Linked DNA regions of Struthio camelus. The protein of the gene in region 1 purifies or fractionates together with the protein of each later gene. This does not show direct contact. Links are inferred from orthologs where the notes say so. Each region holds a gene or a part of one and is shown on either strand. Other genes may lie near its edges.

What was found. Proteins that work in one complex are often made in the same cells at the same time.
Region 2: the proteins of SLC39A12 (region 1) and NAT14 purify together in Homo sapiens (co-immunoprecipitation; 3 studies listed by BioGRID and IntAct, counting the BioPlex papers as one, with this or other methods). This does not show direct contact. The link is inferred for Struthio camelus from reciprocal best matches to the Homo sapiens genes SLC39A12 and NAT14.

The regions. Positions count from the first base shown.
Region 1 is NC_090943.1:23,505,140-23,512,402, reverse strand, and holds the start of SLC39A12 (zinc transporter ZIP12), read left to right. Parts: upstream 1-4,244; 5' UTR 4,245-4,268; coding exon of another isoform or gene 4,269-4,335; intron 4,336-5,447; 5' UTR 5,448-5,530; coding exon 5,531-5,800; intron 5,801-7,263. UniProt on the Homo sapiens protein: Uniporter that promotes Zn(2+) import from the extracellular space to the cytoplasm across the cell membrane. The transport activity is temperature dependent. May play a role in neurulation and neurite extension.
Region 2 is NC_090975.1:1,178,241-1,185,445, reverse strand, and holds the start of NAT14 (probable N-acetyltransferase 14), read right to left. Parts: upstream 3,001-7,205; 5' UTR 2,936-3,000; intron 2,334-2,935; exon of another isoform or gene 2,197-2,333; 5' UTR 2,112-2,196; coding exon 2,034-2,111; intron 1,813-2,033; coding exon 1,285-1,812; 3' UTR 1-1,284. Other genes in the region: zinc finger protein 628-like, read right to left, coding at 4,312-7,205. UniProt on the Homo sapiens protein: Probable acetyltransferase. May act as a transcription factor that regulates the expression of coproporphyrinogen oxidase by binding to a promoter regulatory element.

The sequences.
Region 1 (7,263 bases):
GAACAATATGGTATACAGCTTTCTCAACTCTCCTCTTTTTCTTACCCCAGAAATATTCCTACTGTGACTTGAGTTGTTAATAATTAAGTTAGTGTTTAATGTTTTGACAGTTAGCTCTGCGTTCCTTTTTTTTTTTTTTCTTTACCGACATAGCTACATATGCTCTCCATTCAGCAATGGAGAGATTGTGTGATGGACAAGTTTGAAGAAAGATGGGTGAGTTAATGAGATTTTAGATCACACTTTCCATATAAATGAACACTATTTTTGTTAACCTATATAAGCTTTCATACCGGAACATCTTAAGGCAGTAAATTCCACAGATAAATTCTACAATATGTAAAAAAGTACTTCTGAAGTTACATTTCTCAAAGCACAGGAGGCTTTGCTGGCTTGGAGAGGAAGTAATTCATGAGTTCTTTCTTTTCTATTCTAATATAGCAAGATTTTCAAATCTTTCTTAGGAACTTTCTGCTGACTAACAGTTGAATTCAGAAATCCTGGCCTAATACAGGGCTTGCTCTAGACATATTTATTAATATATATAACTTAGATAAAAATTTAGTTAGCATTCATTTATTTTAGTTCATTGGAAATCTTAATATAAATGATATTGTTAGAATTGACATGAGGCCAATGAAGCTGAATTGACTATGGTGATTTTAAAGCACTAACATTTTGTATTGTAGCACTCCAGCATTGATTCCTTGGCAAAGATGCTTTATATATTCAAATTCTACACAAATTACATGCAAAATGAAGTCCTTTCATCTGTCAGTATGCTGCCTATGGCTGTAATTATAGCAGTGTGCACACATCACATTAATAATATGGAGGAAATCTGCAGTACCATAGGATCCTCTTCTATTTGCCATAATTGCTGTGATTAGTAAAAGGGCAGAAAACGCATTTGCTTAGTCCGTGAAAATAAGTTATACAGTATTTAAGAAACGAAAGTTATACATAGCTGCATTTCTCAGTAAGCCGTGAAGTTCAGCAGGGGTCTTGCTAAAATGATGCCTATATTCTCTCCCATTATGTTGTACAAATAAAAGTAAGCTCTTTGCCAGGTTGGTGGAGCTCATAGGAATGTCCTTGTCATTACAGAGGTAGTTCTCTAAAGAGTTTTCCTGTTCCTACATCATTTATTCCTTGATCCTTTGAAGGACAGTAAATTGTAGAGTGCAGTGATGACATTTGTGAATGGGTGACTTGCTTTTGTTCTCCCATCAGGTGAGAGGGTGGGAGAAGCAACAAGATAAGCTGCAGTAAAGTCTTACTGGCTCGCTTAAAACTAAAACCAAAAAAATAAATAAAAATCTTGTAACCAAACAGGGTTTGCTGCATGTGCTTATCATATTCTGTGTCTGGTTATGCCATGTGTAAATTGTCTTCACGCCTACTCATGCAAATGAAAGTTAAGATATTATCATATGATCATATTGAAATTGAATTTGTATGTGAAGAAAATTTGATATGCACTGTCTGAGGTCAAGAACCCAATCATGCAATTAGATAAGAGTTTTTAGAAATTTCCATTTTTATCACTCTTTTTTTCACCTTCGCACTTCTATTATTCATTTTTCCTGGGACATGTATCTCTTGTCTGCCAGCAATCAGTTACTGTCTTGCAAGTATTCTTCCACAGTGTATCTCTTCAAACTGATTAAAATGATTGTATCTGCGAGTCCTTGACCTCAGATCCTTACTCCAGTGTACTAAGTTATTTGTGGTGTAGAATGGAATTTTAAAAAGTTTCATTTGTTTATTTAATCATGAAGTTCAAGATATGTCATGTTAGAATGACAAGCCACTTTGATCTGAGGTATCCCTGTTCTCTAATACCTCTGAGGCCTTTTTCTGTAGCACATATTGTAATTCTTTAGTAAGCAGAGAATCACTAGATTATGAGCATTGTACAGAGTTTCTGCACAGACCTTGTTTCCTTTTATTAAAAAACACTGAGAGACATGCAATCAAATTTAAGCCAAAATGTCAGAAATTGTTATAATAAATAAGAGAATAATAGAATAATAGTGATAGCTGCTTCCTGAGGTTTTGAGGCATTAAGCTGTCAGTGGATCTTTTTCTGTCTGTGTATCTCAGCAAAATTCCAAGAAGTTTTTAACTGCATAGTTCTGTTATTTTCACTGTCCCATTTTATCAGTTGGCATAATGTCAACATGGGTAGGTGGTATGGGCATAACACTATTAAGGAAATGTTTGAAAAAAGAGTTAACAATTGATTTTACAAAGTACTTCAAAAGCAGTAATCTCAACCTATGTAGACAGAAAAAAGCTTTGATCACGACTGGATGACTGAAAGCAGAGGTAATGCTCTGAAGTCAGGGTTGAAAGCAGAGATTTAAACTTGAGTCACCATCAGTGATATCATCACCACCGAGAAACTCATTTACAAGCCAGAGAACGAAAGAAGTTTGCAACAGTTAGTCTTACAAGGGGAAGTCAGTTCTGCTTTGAAATCAGCCACGGTAGCCTATAACCATTATTATCTATTACTTTTTAGTGCACTATATATTTATTTTTGTCATCACTGTGTAGTATAAATGTTAATGTAAGATATTACCAGTATTATTATGTAAACCTCTCAGCAGCTTTCAGTAGTTACAAGTCATCAAATGTGTATTTTTGTATGTTAGCTTCTCTCAACAAGTTGAAATAATTCTCCCTTTGCTTGTACACATGCTAGTTGTAGAGAATAAATTCTGAGTTTTAATTTGTAATTGTATATGAAACACCAAATCATGTACAGATAAACCTATTCTGTGTTAGTTTAGAGACTTAGCAATCCCCAGGCTTAAGTGCTGGAAGCCATTCCCTCATTATCTGAGTAATTATTTTTTATTAGTGGAACAAATGTGGATGTAGTTAGTTTTGTTTCACAGTGGGAATTACGTGGAGGCCAGAGGAGATGCTTGTAGTCATGTGCTTCTGCCTTTTTGGTCTTCATATGGAAAAAATAAAGCAAATTTTTGGGATGAAAATTCCTGTACTTCCTGTTTGCATTAAGATGAAACTTTAGCAATTTTAGTTTGATAAAAATCTTCTGTAATTTGTAAAGGTAAAATAATATGTTTTGATTAAAATGTCAGGGTTTCTTTGTACTTGAATAGCTAATAATAGGACTGTTTTTTAGAACACTCGGCTTTGACCACAAAAGAGTTCGTACACACTTCCATGTGCTTGTACCTTATATTTGTGAGAACATTTGTTTACGTTTTGCATTTCGCTCAAGCTGCTGTGGTCGGTTTCCTTTTTGTTTATAGTCAGTATCAGTTGCCAGTTCTCAGACTTTAATCCAAGATAATTTCCTTTGAGCGCACCATCCTGTAGGAGACATTACTTGCATTTTCGTACTACTTGCATTTTCTCGATCTAGTTTTAAAGAGAATTATACTATTTCCATTACTGTTAAGGTAAGCTGGCTTGCTGCTACACGAGATTTGAAGAATCAGCTGAGATGATAATTCTTCATTATTACACTCAAGGTTTGGGAGATGGGAGAATGATATATCTGGTGTATCTGTTGCTGTGAAATCCATCATGACATTTTTCACTAAATTCCAATGTGAGAATATTGTAGTGGCATGGTGAGATAAAACTCAACTTTGCAGCAGCATCCCTCAGCAAATCTGAGTGGGTGGAAAATATGTTTTTCACCACAGCCTGAACTATCCCGGCTTTTTTAATTGTTGCAGATGTGGCACAGAATGAGTGGGGATGAAAGGGCCTGTTCTCTATGGATACTGTTTTCTTAAGAAGAATACCACTTTTTTATGGAGCTGCTTGAAAAGATTTCTATTCTGTTTTCATATTTGCAAAAAGAAGTAATAATTTGATTAAAAAATTTGTAATGTTTTGATTAAAAATGAAATTCAAGTATTTTAGAAAATTGCCCAGATAATTCACTAAAGTAGAGGACACTTAGGGTGCCTGCATGTATTATTGATCATAGTTAAATATATTTTTCAATAGATGTTATACATCTTGACATCTGCTGAAATAAAGTGAGGACTGTTTACATAAAATGATAACTACTAAAATAATTTGTTAAATACATTCAATTATGTGATGCTTAGAACTTGCCAAGAAGAACATGTACTAATTCCTATCCACCTCCATTGTTACCTTAAGAGCAACTCTCTCCATAGCAACTGAAAACTTTTCAAGGCAGCAATAAACTAATCCTCTCCAGCTTCCAGAGAACCATCAAGGAATTTTAAAAACATTGGACTTCCAGCAGCTAAATGCTTCTGCGGATTCAAAAGGCCACAAAGCTAGAGACATATAATCATTCTTTTTTCCCTACAGAAGGTAAGAAAATAATGTTTAGAAATAAATGCATCCCCATAACTATGACACATATTCCTCACTGCTAACAGCAAAATTTATCTAAACACCAAAGCTTTTCCTAGCATCTAAAACATACTAATCTTTCTCTGAATGCCAATGTGAATTCAGCAGTTATTTTTTTTCATTTTAAATACTCTGTTAGCAGTTTTCTTTAAAATGTCACATATGTATTATATGGTAGTTAAAAGAAGCTGAACTTGTGTGACTGTCTAAGCTATGTGTATTATCATCAGCAAATTTATGTAGCTGCCAGCATCTACCCATCAACAAATTGAAAAACTCCTAGTGTAAAACAGAACCTAAACTCTTTTATCCTTCTTGTGTTTTGATACTGAGATACGTATCGTTAAAGCAGAATGTTAGTGTCTTAGGAAGGATATTGCCAAGACAGATTTACAGTACAGAATGTTGTTTCCATCTAGGATTTCAAAAAGTTAAACTGATTGCTTCTGGTATATTTGTCTTGTTTAATCATTGAGTTGTATGAATGAACTTCTTACCTCAGTTCTTTAACTCTTTCATCTGACCATAAAGTATCACTAATTTTTAGGCAATTATGTTAATTCTTGTTTAGTGTTGTACAGCTGAAGTTAAGTAATATTGGTAAAGTGTTTTGAAAGTAAAACCTGCTCTGCATCAGTGCTGTGTAACATAATTACTGCACGTTCATATCAAGATTACCCTAGTGATCTTTATTTACACCTATTACTGCTTCTAAAACCCTGTTTCATAAAGGAGTGAAAGTGAAAGCTATCGTATTTTCCTGTTCTGCTGAAGAGGATTATTAGTGAATGCAATAACATAACACTGAAATGAAAACCATGCAGTTTACTTTTATGAGGAGGGTCAGGCAGTTTTAGTCAACCTCTTGCTGGTAATTCTACAGGAGTTTTAAGGCCATGGTCGTCTTAGTTTCCTGCTGTTCTGAGCTGTAAAGTCCCTACAGGCTCCCTGTTGTTCAAAAACAGCTTGTCACTGCAAATCAGCTTAGCCAACCAATTAATAAATCCTCGCAAACATATTGCAGACACACTAATTAAAGGGTTGGGGTTTTTTTCCCCTTTACTATTCAGATTCCTCAGGTTTCAAGTTTAAGCTGTGAAGTGCAAACAACAATCGAACATTCAGTACAGATCACGCACGGCAGGAAGAGGAGATGTGTTTTCTGACCAAGCATCCAGCTCTTGGGGTGGTATGTTCTGCTTTCATATTCAGCGTGCTCATTGCTGAAGGACAGTCTGGGGAAGAGCATGGGCAGGATGGCAGCTCTGCTCCCAGCCGAGGCTATCTGATGGAAGTTTTACGCATTCTTTCAGCTGACAACACTGAGCTCCACAAGAACCACTCACGAGAACTGGTCAAAACGTTACTGGAGAGAGCTGAGTGCCCACAGCGGATTTATGGCATGCGAGAGGATTGTAATCTGGTTAGTGCTTCAATTAATGAGGGAAACCTTTATAGGATAGTCAGTGAGTTCTAAAATTATTTCTTAGACTGACACCCTCCTGAATACAAAAGTAAACATGTAAAAGGCTTCTTCTTACAGCAAAAGTGATAGTCCTTGCTTTAACTGTTTCATCGTAAGTTATGAATATTTCTTGTTTGATCTTATAGAGATATTCCAAACATGATAGGTATACCTTAAAAATTCCATATTCCTTTCAGATAAGAGTAAAAATTTTCCTTTCAAAGCTTTCAAATGTTTATTTTCTGGGAAGGATTTTTTTACTTTTTGCTGATCTAACTTTAAAAGCTAGAGCTTGAATTTGGGACACAGAGAATTTCTACTGTAGAAAGACATTGGTAAAAATGGGGGGAGCAGTTCTGTCAGTTTTTTTGTTATGGATTTTAGTTCATAAAAATAAATCACAGCCAGGATTGTTTGAGATTCATGTGCCACTTCACTGAAGTATCTAGGATTGATCCAACAATGGATCTGCAAATCCAGATTTGACATAGTTCAGGGTACAGCTTCACAGAAGGTTCAGTTGTCTAGCTGAATTGAGAATACTTTCAGAACTGATTCCTGATTTGATCAGGAAAGGGACAAGAGCTATGAGATCTTAGGTTCTAGTAGGTAGGAGGGAGATGGTGCCTCAGCTTGGCATTTTCTTTCCCACACTAGTTGACACTAACTAATTGGTTTCAAACTCAACTTTCCCTTCTAAATCCAGGATTCCTGTAACACCAGACCACTTTGTTTTCATTTTTTTCTTCATTTGTAATGATGCATGCAGTGGATATTTAAAATAATGCAGCAATGTTCTAACTGTTTTTTAAACCCCTTTTTGGTTTGTTTTTTAAACTGGCCCCCTAGAGCGTTTGTGAAGGGACTAGCATCTCTTAAACAGCATCTGACACTCTTTTATCTCCCAAGCATGCAAAAGGCATATATTTCTTGCAGTGGTAAGGGATTTTTCTTCTGACTCCTGGTTGCCTAAACAAAGCAAACTCAGGGCTCTGTGCCTAGGTTCAGAGCTAGGCTCTTTGTTATAGCAAATAAGCTTTTCTAAACATAGGCCATGTGCATGATTGTGCCTCTAAAATTCTAGTAATAGCAAAATAACCAGTGATGAATCAATTTATATTCTCTTGATATCATCTTGTGGGCTACCTAGATACTATGAAATAACAACATCTTTTACAATGTACCTGCTTCCTTGCAGTTAGCAATTTCCTTTTCAGTCATCTTCCTTGCTAGAGTAAACAGCTTTGCTGATTACAGTTTATCCTTACTAGCTCTTGAAATACTGTAAAAGTCTTTGAAAATCTTCTGTTACATGCCTGATGTTTCTTATACACCCTAGGATGTATTTGAAAAAGCTGATTGACTAACTTGAGGCCTCTAAGGGACAGAAAACAGAATACTTATGCTCCTTCAAGTGCAAA
Region 2 (7,205 bases), on another chromosome or scaffold:
TCACTCGCCCCCCACGCACGGGGCTGGGCTGGCAGCAGGATGGGGTGCAACGTGGTCTGGGGGGGGGTGCACAGACCCCTGGATGCTCCAGTCACCAGGGACACTCAGGTGCAGCATCTTCCTCCCAGCCCGGCCCAGCCACGGCCCGGGCATGCAAGGGTTAAGGCTGGAAGAGCTGGGCGCCACGCACAGCCTGACACCCCGGGGACACACGTGCACTGGCGCACACGCGCCCACGCGCCTTGCTGTCCGCACGGGCAGAGGCGCACGCCCTGCTGTTGCACGGCCACGTGCACAGACGCACACGCCCTGCCCTTGCACAGCCACATGCACAGACGCACACGCCTTGCCTTTGCACAGCTACGCATGCACATACCCTTCTGTTGCATGGCTACCCGTGCACACCCCCCCCCACCTTTGCACAGCCACACGTGCACGAGTGCACATGCACTGCTGTTGCGCGGCCACACGCACACACATGCTCTGCCATGACACAGCCACACATGCACAAACGCGCTTGCACTGCCGGTGCACGGCCACATGCGCACAGGCCCTGCCACGGCATGGCCACGTGTGCACAAATGCATGCATACTGCTGGCGCATGGCCACACGTTCACACGTGCCCTGCCACGGCACGGCCACATGTGCGTGGTCGCATGTCCTGGCGTTGTATGCACACATGAATGGAGGAACACACAAAGCCACACATGCACATGTGCCACCGTTGCCCAGTGGGGACAAACAGGGGGCACAGCAGGGCAGTACTGGGAGAACAGTGGGCTACACTTGGGGGGGGGGGGTCATAGGGTCATACTGGGGGGCGCAGCGTGGCTGTACCCTGGGGTCAGCATGGCTGACTGGCGAACCAGCGGGGCTATAATGGGAATCATCAGGCCATATCAGAGGGGAACACTGGGGACATAGTGGGAGCCATTGGGTCAGACTGGGGGGACGTTGGGGCCACACTGGGGGCATCAGCAGGGCCATATTGGACATGACAGGGCCATATCCGAAGGGAACAACGGGACCATACTGGGAGTCAGTGGGCCACACTGGGGGAATCATTGGGTCATACTGAGGGGGACAATCAGGGCCATCCTGGGGGCAATATGGGCGTCACAGGGCGACACTGGGTGCCAGCAGCACCATGCAGGGGCCCCCCCACCCTGCCCACCACCCCAGGGTGACGCAAGGAGGAGCGGGAGCCAAGGTGGGTGGGTGCCGGGGCAGGGGGGTGGGTTTATTGGCGGGTGCGCGGGCAGAGGGGGCAGCACCCCCGGGCGCTAGAGCTCCTTGCTGAACTCGTGCAGCACAGCGCAGCCCAGCCAGGCGCGGGGGCCGCTGCGCCGGCGGTACCCGGCGCCCTCCAGCAGAGCCCGGGCGGCTGGGGCGCCGGCGGGCACCCGCAGCACCAAGCGCTCGTAGCCCTGCGCCCGGGCCCGGCCCTCGAGGAAGGCGAGGAGACGGCGGGCAACGCCGGCGCGCCGGTGCCGGCGGCCCACGGCCAAGCGGGAGAGCTCGGCCTCCTCCTCGCTGGCGCGGGGCTCCAGGGCAGCGCAGCCGCGTACCGCCGCCTCGCCGGGGGCCACGGCCACCCAGAGCCCCGCGGCGGGCAGGGGCCGCCGGTGGGGCCCGCGCCAGGCAGCCGCCTTGAGCAGGGCCCCGCTCAGCGCCAGCGGCAGCAGCAGGGCGGCGGGCAGCGAGCCCAGCAGCAGGCGCAGGGCGCTGCTGGCCACCGCCAGCAGCAGCAGGGCAGGGGGCCGCGTCAGCACGTGCAGGATCAGGCGGGTCTCGGCGTCCTGGAAGGCGTCCTGGGGAAAACACAAAGGGAAACGGGGGCGTTGGGGGGGGGGGGTGCAGGGGTACCCAAGGGTACACCATAAGGGCACACCCCAGGGTACACACGTTGGGGCAACTGGGGGCACCGTAGGGGCAGGTTGCAAGGCACCCATAGGCAGTTGCAGGCACCCCAGGGTGCATCATTGGGGGCTGGTTGCAAAGGCACCCTAGGGTGCCCCGGGGCAGGGCGCACCTGGAGCAGCTGCAGGACGGCGGGGGCTTCGTCGGGCCGCATGGGACGGATGGTGAGCGGGGCGGCGGACGCTGGCATGGTGGAGGTGTGCTGGGCTGCCAGGATGCTGCGCCGCGGGGGTCAGGGGGTGGCACCCCCCTCCCGGCTCCCCCGGGTCGTCCTGCTGTGAGGGCAGCAGTGACCTCCGGTACCCCCCTCCCATACTGTCCCCCAGCCTGACCTCAGGTCACCCAGTGACATCTGGCCCCAATGTCCTCCCGAGTGCCCCCTATCCCGGCCTCAGGGCCCCCTAGTCTGATCCAAGCCCCCCCCAGTGCCCCCCAGTCTGATCACAGTGCCACCCCAGTGTCCCCTATCCCGGCCTCAGGGCCCCCTAGTCTGATCCAAGCCCCCCCCCAGTGCCCCCCAGTCTGATCACAGTGCCACCCCAGTGTCCCCTATCCTGGCCTCAGGGCCCTCTAGTCTGATCCAAGCCCCCCCCAGTGCCCCCCCCCAAACTCAGGGCTCCCCAGTGCCCCCCAGTCTGATCACAGTGCCACCCGAGTGTCCCCTATCCTGGCCTCAGGGCCCCCTAGTCTGATCCAACCCCCCCCAGTGCCCCCCAGCCTGATTTCAGGGCCGCCCAGTGACACCCAGTGTCCCCCCCCCACTGCTCCCCATCCTTCCCAGTGTCCCCCACCCTCAGCACCTCCCTCGCCCCCGCCCTTTGGCAACGGTGGTACAACCGGCCCCCCCCACCCAGCCCCGCCCGGTGGTGCGGCCCGCTGCCCCCCGCCGCCCAGCCCCCCTCGCGCCGTCCGGTGGCACGGCCCGCTTCCCCCCCCCCCGCCCCCGGCACGTGGGGCGGCCGCGCTCCCCCCCCGCCGCCGATGGACCCGCCCAGGCCGCGCCGCGCCTCTCACCGCCGAGCCGCGGCCGGGCCGCGCCGCACCACGCAGGCGCCGCCCGCCGGCCCCGCCCCTAGCGGCAGTTGCCAGGGTGCCCTCCTCCCTCTACCCCCCCTCCCCCCGCCCCGCCTGCGCGTGCGCACAGGGAAGGAGGAAGCGCCCGCCGGGACAGCAGCGTTTATTGAGCCGCGCCGGGAGGACCCAGGTGTCCGGAGGAGCCAGGCGTCCTCCGACCCCCCTCCTCCTGCGGGTCCTCGCCCCAGCGCAGGGGGGACCCAGGCGTCCTGGAGCCCATAACCCCCAGCGCAGGGGGGACCCAGGCGTCCTGGAGCCCGGCCCTCCCAGGGCACGCACCCCAGTGCAGGGGGAACCCAGGCGTCCTGGAGCCCATAACCCCCAGTGCAGGGGGGACCCAGGCGTCCCAATGCCCGGACCTCCCAGGGCACGCACCCCAGTGCAGGGAGGACCCAGGTGTCCTGGTGCCCGGCCCTCCCAGGGCACATACCCCAGTGCAGGGGGGTCCCAGGTGTCCTGGTGTCCGGCCCTCCCAGGGCACATACCCCAGTGCAGGGGGGTCCCAGGTGTCCCAGTGCCCGGACCTCCCAGGGCACACACCCCAGTGCAGGGGGGACCCAGGCGTCCCAATGCCCGGACCTCCCAGGGCACGCACCCCAGTGCAGGGGGGTCCCAGGTGTCCCAGTGCCCGGACCTCCCAGGGCACACACCCCAGTGCAGGGGGGACCCAGGCGTCCCAGTGCCCGGACCTCCCAGGGCACGCACCCCAGTGCAGGGGGGTCCCAGGCGTCCCGGTGCTCGGACCTCCCAGGGCACGCACCCCAGCGCAGGGGGGACCCAGGCGTCCTGGAGCCCGGCCCTCCCAGGGCACACACCGCAGTGCAGGGGGGACCCAGGCGTCCTGGAGCCCGGCCCTCCCAGGGCACACACCGCAGTGCAGGGGGGACCCAGGCGTCCTGGAGCCCAGACCCTCACAAGGTCATACAGCCTTTGCAAGAGGACCTGGGTGCTCTGGAGGCCAGACCGCCCTGTGACATGCACCCCCATGGAGGGAGGACCCAGGAGTCCTGATGCTCAGTTCTCCTTGGGGGACCTGCACAGGGGTACCCAGGAGTCCTGGGGCTGAGCTCATCATGGCCCCCACACCCCAGCACCCAAGGGACCCAGGAGTCCTGGTGCTGAGCCGCCTATGGCTCCTGCACCCCATTGCTGAGCAGATCCAAGAGTCCTGGTGCTGAGTTCATCATAGCTCCCGCACCCCAGCACCCAAGGGACCCAGGAGTCCTGGTGCTGAGCCCCCTGTGGCTCCTGCACCCCAGGGCCCAGGGCTGGCCGTGGAGAGGACCCCGGCGTCCTGCCCTGGGGTTGGGCCCCGCTCAGAAGGTGTGAACCAGCTGGACGCTGGGCACCGTCTGCACGATCTGGATGGCGGGCAGGTCCGGGGCCGGGGGGCCAGGCAGGAGCTGCACCATGGCAGGACCACCAGCAGGCCCTGGCATTGCCCCAGTGCTGCTGGGCGCCCCCCGCGCCTGCGCGGAGAGCTGGCCCCCGGCCCCCGGCACATTCTCCAGCACCTGCAAAGTGGGCTCGCTGCGGATGATGAAGAGTTTCTGCCCACCAGGGGCCTCATCCGGCGGCAGCTCCGGCAGGTTTTCCACCTCCTGCACGCAGAGTCGCGTCTGCTCGCCATCGGCGCCGCGCAGCACCAGCACGTTCTGCAGCCCCTCGGCCGTCTGCAGCATCTCCAGGTGCACGTCCTGCACCCCAGCCAAGCCGCCCACCTCCGACCCCGGCCCCAGCAGCTCCTCGCCCTGCCCGCTCTGTACCACGATCACGTCCTGCCCCTCTGGCAGCCCCGCAGCACCCCGCAGCTCGGGGCCGCTCGGCAGGCTCGGCCCTGTCACAGGCTCAGAGGGTTGGGACAGGGTTTGGAGCTGCACCCGGGTGCCCTCGGGGGTTTGGAGTTGGACGTTCGTCACCTCGGGGGTCTGGAGCTGGACATTGGTCACCTCCGAGGGCTGCGGCAAGGATTGGAGCTGGACACCGGTCACCTCCGAGGGCTGTGGTAAGGTTTGGAGCTGGACATTTGTCATCTCCGGGGGCTGCGGCAGGGCTTGGAGCTGGATGTTGGGCATCTCGGAGGGCTGCGGCAGGGCTTGGAGCTGGACGTTTGTCACCTCGGTGGCCTGGAGCTGCACATTGGCCATCTCAGTGGCCTGGAGCTGGACACCGGTCACTTCAGAGGGCTGCGGCAGGGCCTGCAGTTGGATGTTAGTCACCTCGGATGGCTGCGGCAGGGCTTGAAGCTGGACATTTGTCACCTCGGTGGCCTGGAGCTGCACATTTGTCACCTCGGAGGGCTGCGGCAGTGTTTGCAGCTGGACGCTGGCCACCTCGGAGGGCTGCGGCAGGGCTTGCAGCTGGACGCTGGCCACCTCTGGCGGTGCCGGCAGAGCCTGCACCCGCAGGGCGCTCACCTCTGCCGACGGCTGCTCAGGGACGTTCTGCAGCACGATGACGCTGGCCCCAGGTGCGAGGCCTGGTGCCCGCTGAGCGCCCGCCAGTGCCTGGATCTGCACACCGGGCAGGGCTTGCCCCGCACTGGGCACCAGCAGGATGCTCTGCCCGGCTGCCGGCGGTGGGTTGGCAGGCGCCACCGCTTTCGGACCCTTCTCCTGCCGGCGCGGGGCAGCTTTGCTGGGTGGTGCGGGCAGCAGGGCGAAGCCAGGGCTAGCAGCTTTTGGCTGCGGCGCAGGGAGGAGGATAAGCTTCTGCGGCGGGTGGGGGACACTGGGTATGAGCTGCAAGCCCTGTGCCGTCTGCACCAGCAGGAAGGTCTGGGCGTTGGGGGCGGTGGGTGGGCTGCCCACCTCCAAGCTGAGCGCAGCGGGCTGAACGTGGGACCCATCTCGCACGGGCGGCACCTTGGGGGCGGCAGGCGCCTTGGGGCCAGCGGCATGGGTGCGGAGGTGACGCTGTAGGTAGGAGGCCATGACAAAGGCCTTGGAGCAGACAGGGCACTGGTAGGGCCGGGCGCTGGAGTGGGTGCGCTGGTGGAGCTGGAGGTTGGAGGAGTGGGTGAAGGTCTTGCCGCACTGGGCGCAGGCATAGGGGCGCTCGCCGGTGTGGGTGCGCTGGTGCTGCCGCAGGTTGGAGGTCTGGGTGAAGGCCTTGCCGCACACCAGGCAGGCGTAGGGGCGCTCGCCCGTGTGCAGCTGCCGGTGCCGACGGAGGCAGGAGGTGTTTTTGAAGGCCTTGGGGCAGTCCGGGCAGGCGTAGGGGCGCTCGCCCGTGTGCAGCCGCAGGTGGTACTGGTAGTGTGAGGACCACTTGAAGGTGAGGCCGCACTCAGCGCACTTGAAGGCTCGCAGCCCCGTGTGCACCCGCTGGTGGATGGAGAGCAGCGAGGAGCGCTTGAAGGCCTTGCCACACTCGGAGCACTTGTAGGGTCGCTCGCCCGTGTGGTCGCGCATGTGGTAGCGCAGCCCCGAGGAGCCCTTGAAGGCCTTGCCACACTCGGTGCACTGGTAGGGGCGCTCGGCGGGGGCTTGGGCGGGCTCAGGCGCCGTTTGGGGACATGTCACCTCGGCCTCAGCCTGGATGAGCTGCTGCTCAGCGGGGTGGCTGCGTTGGTGGCCCAGCAGGCTAGCCAGCTGCATGAAGGTCTTCTCGCAGACCGAGCACTTGAAGGGACGCTCGCCGGTGTGGCTGTGCTGGTGCCGTGCCAGCCCAGAGCTGTTCTTGAAGGCTTTGCCGCACGTGGGGCAGTTGTGCGTCGCCGTGGGCGCCTCGTCACCACCAGGGCCCGGGCCGGGTGTCCCTACCTCCAAATGGCTCTGCTGGTGGCCCAGCAGCAGCTCCTCGCTCTTGAAGGTCAGCTCGCAGTCACCGCACTTCCAGAGCATCTCCACTGTCTCCACGGCCTCGGGAGGTGCCAGGAAGAGCGGCGGTGGGGCCAAGGGGCTGCCGGGCGGACGGGCGGCGTGGGTCTGCAGGTGTTTCTGCAAGTAGGCGTCCGAGACGAAGGCCTTGGAGCAAGCCGGGCACTTGTGCGCCCGGGAGCCGGCATGGGTGCGCTGGTGAAGGAGCAGGTTGGAGGAGTGGGTGAAGGTCTTGCCACACTGGGCGCAGGCGTAGGGGCGCTCGCCGGTGTGGATGCGCTGGTGCTGCCGCAGGTTGGTGGACTGGGTGAAGGCCTTGCCGCAGGCCGTGCAGACGTAAGGGCGCTCGCCCGTGTGGATGTGGCGGTGGCGGCGGAGGCTGGAGGAGT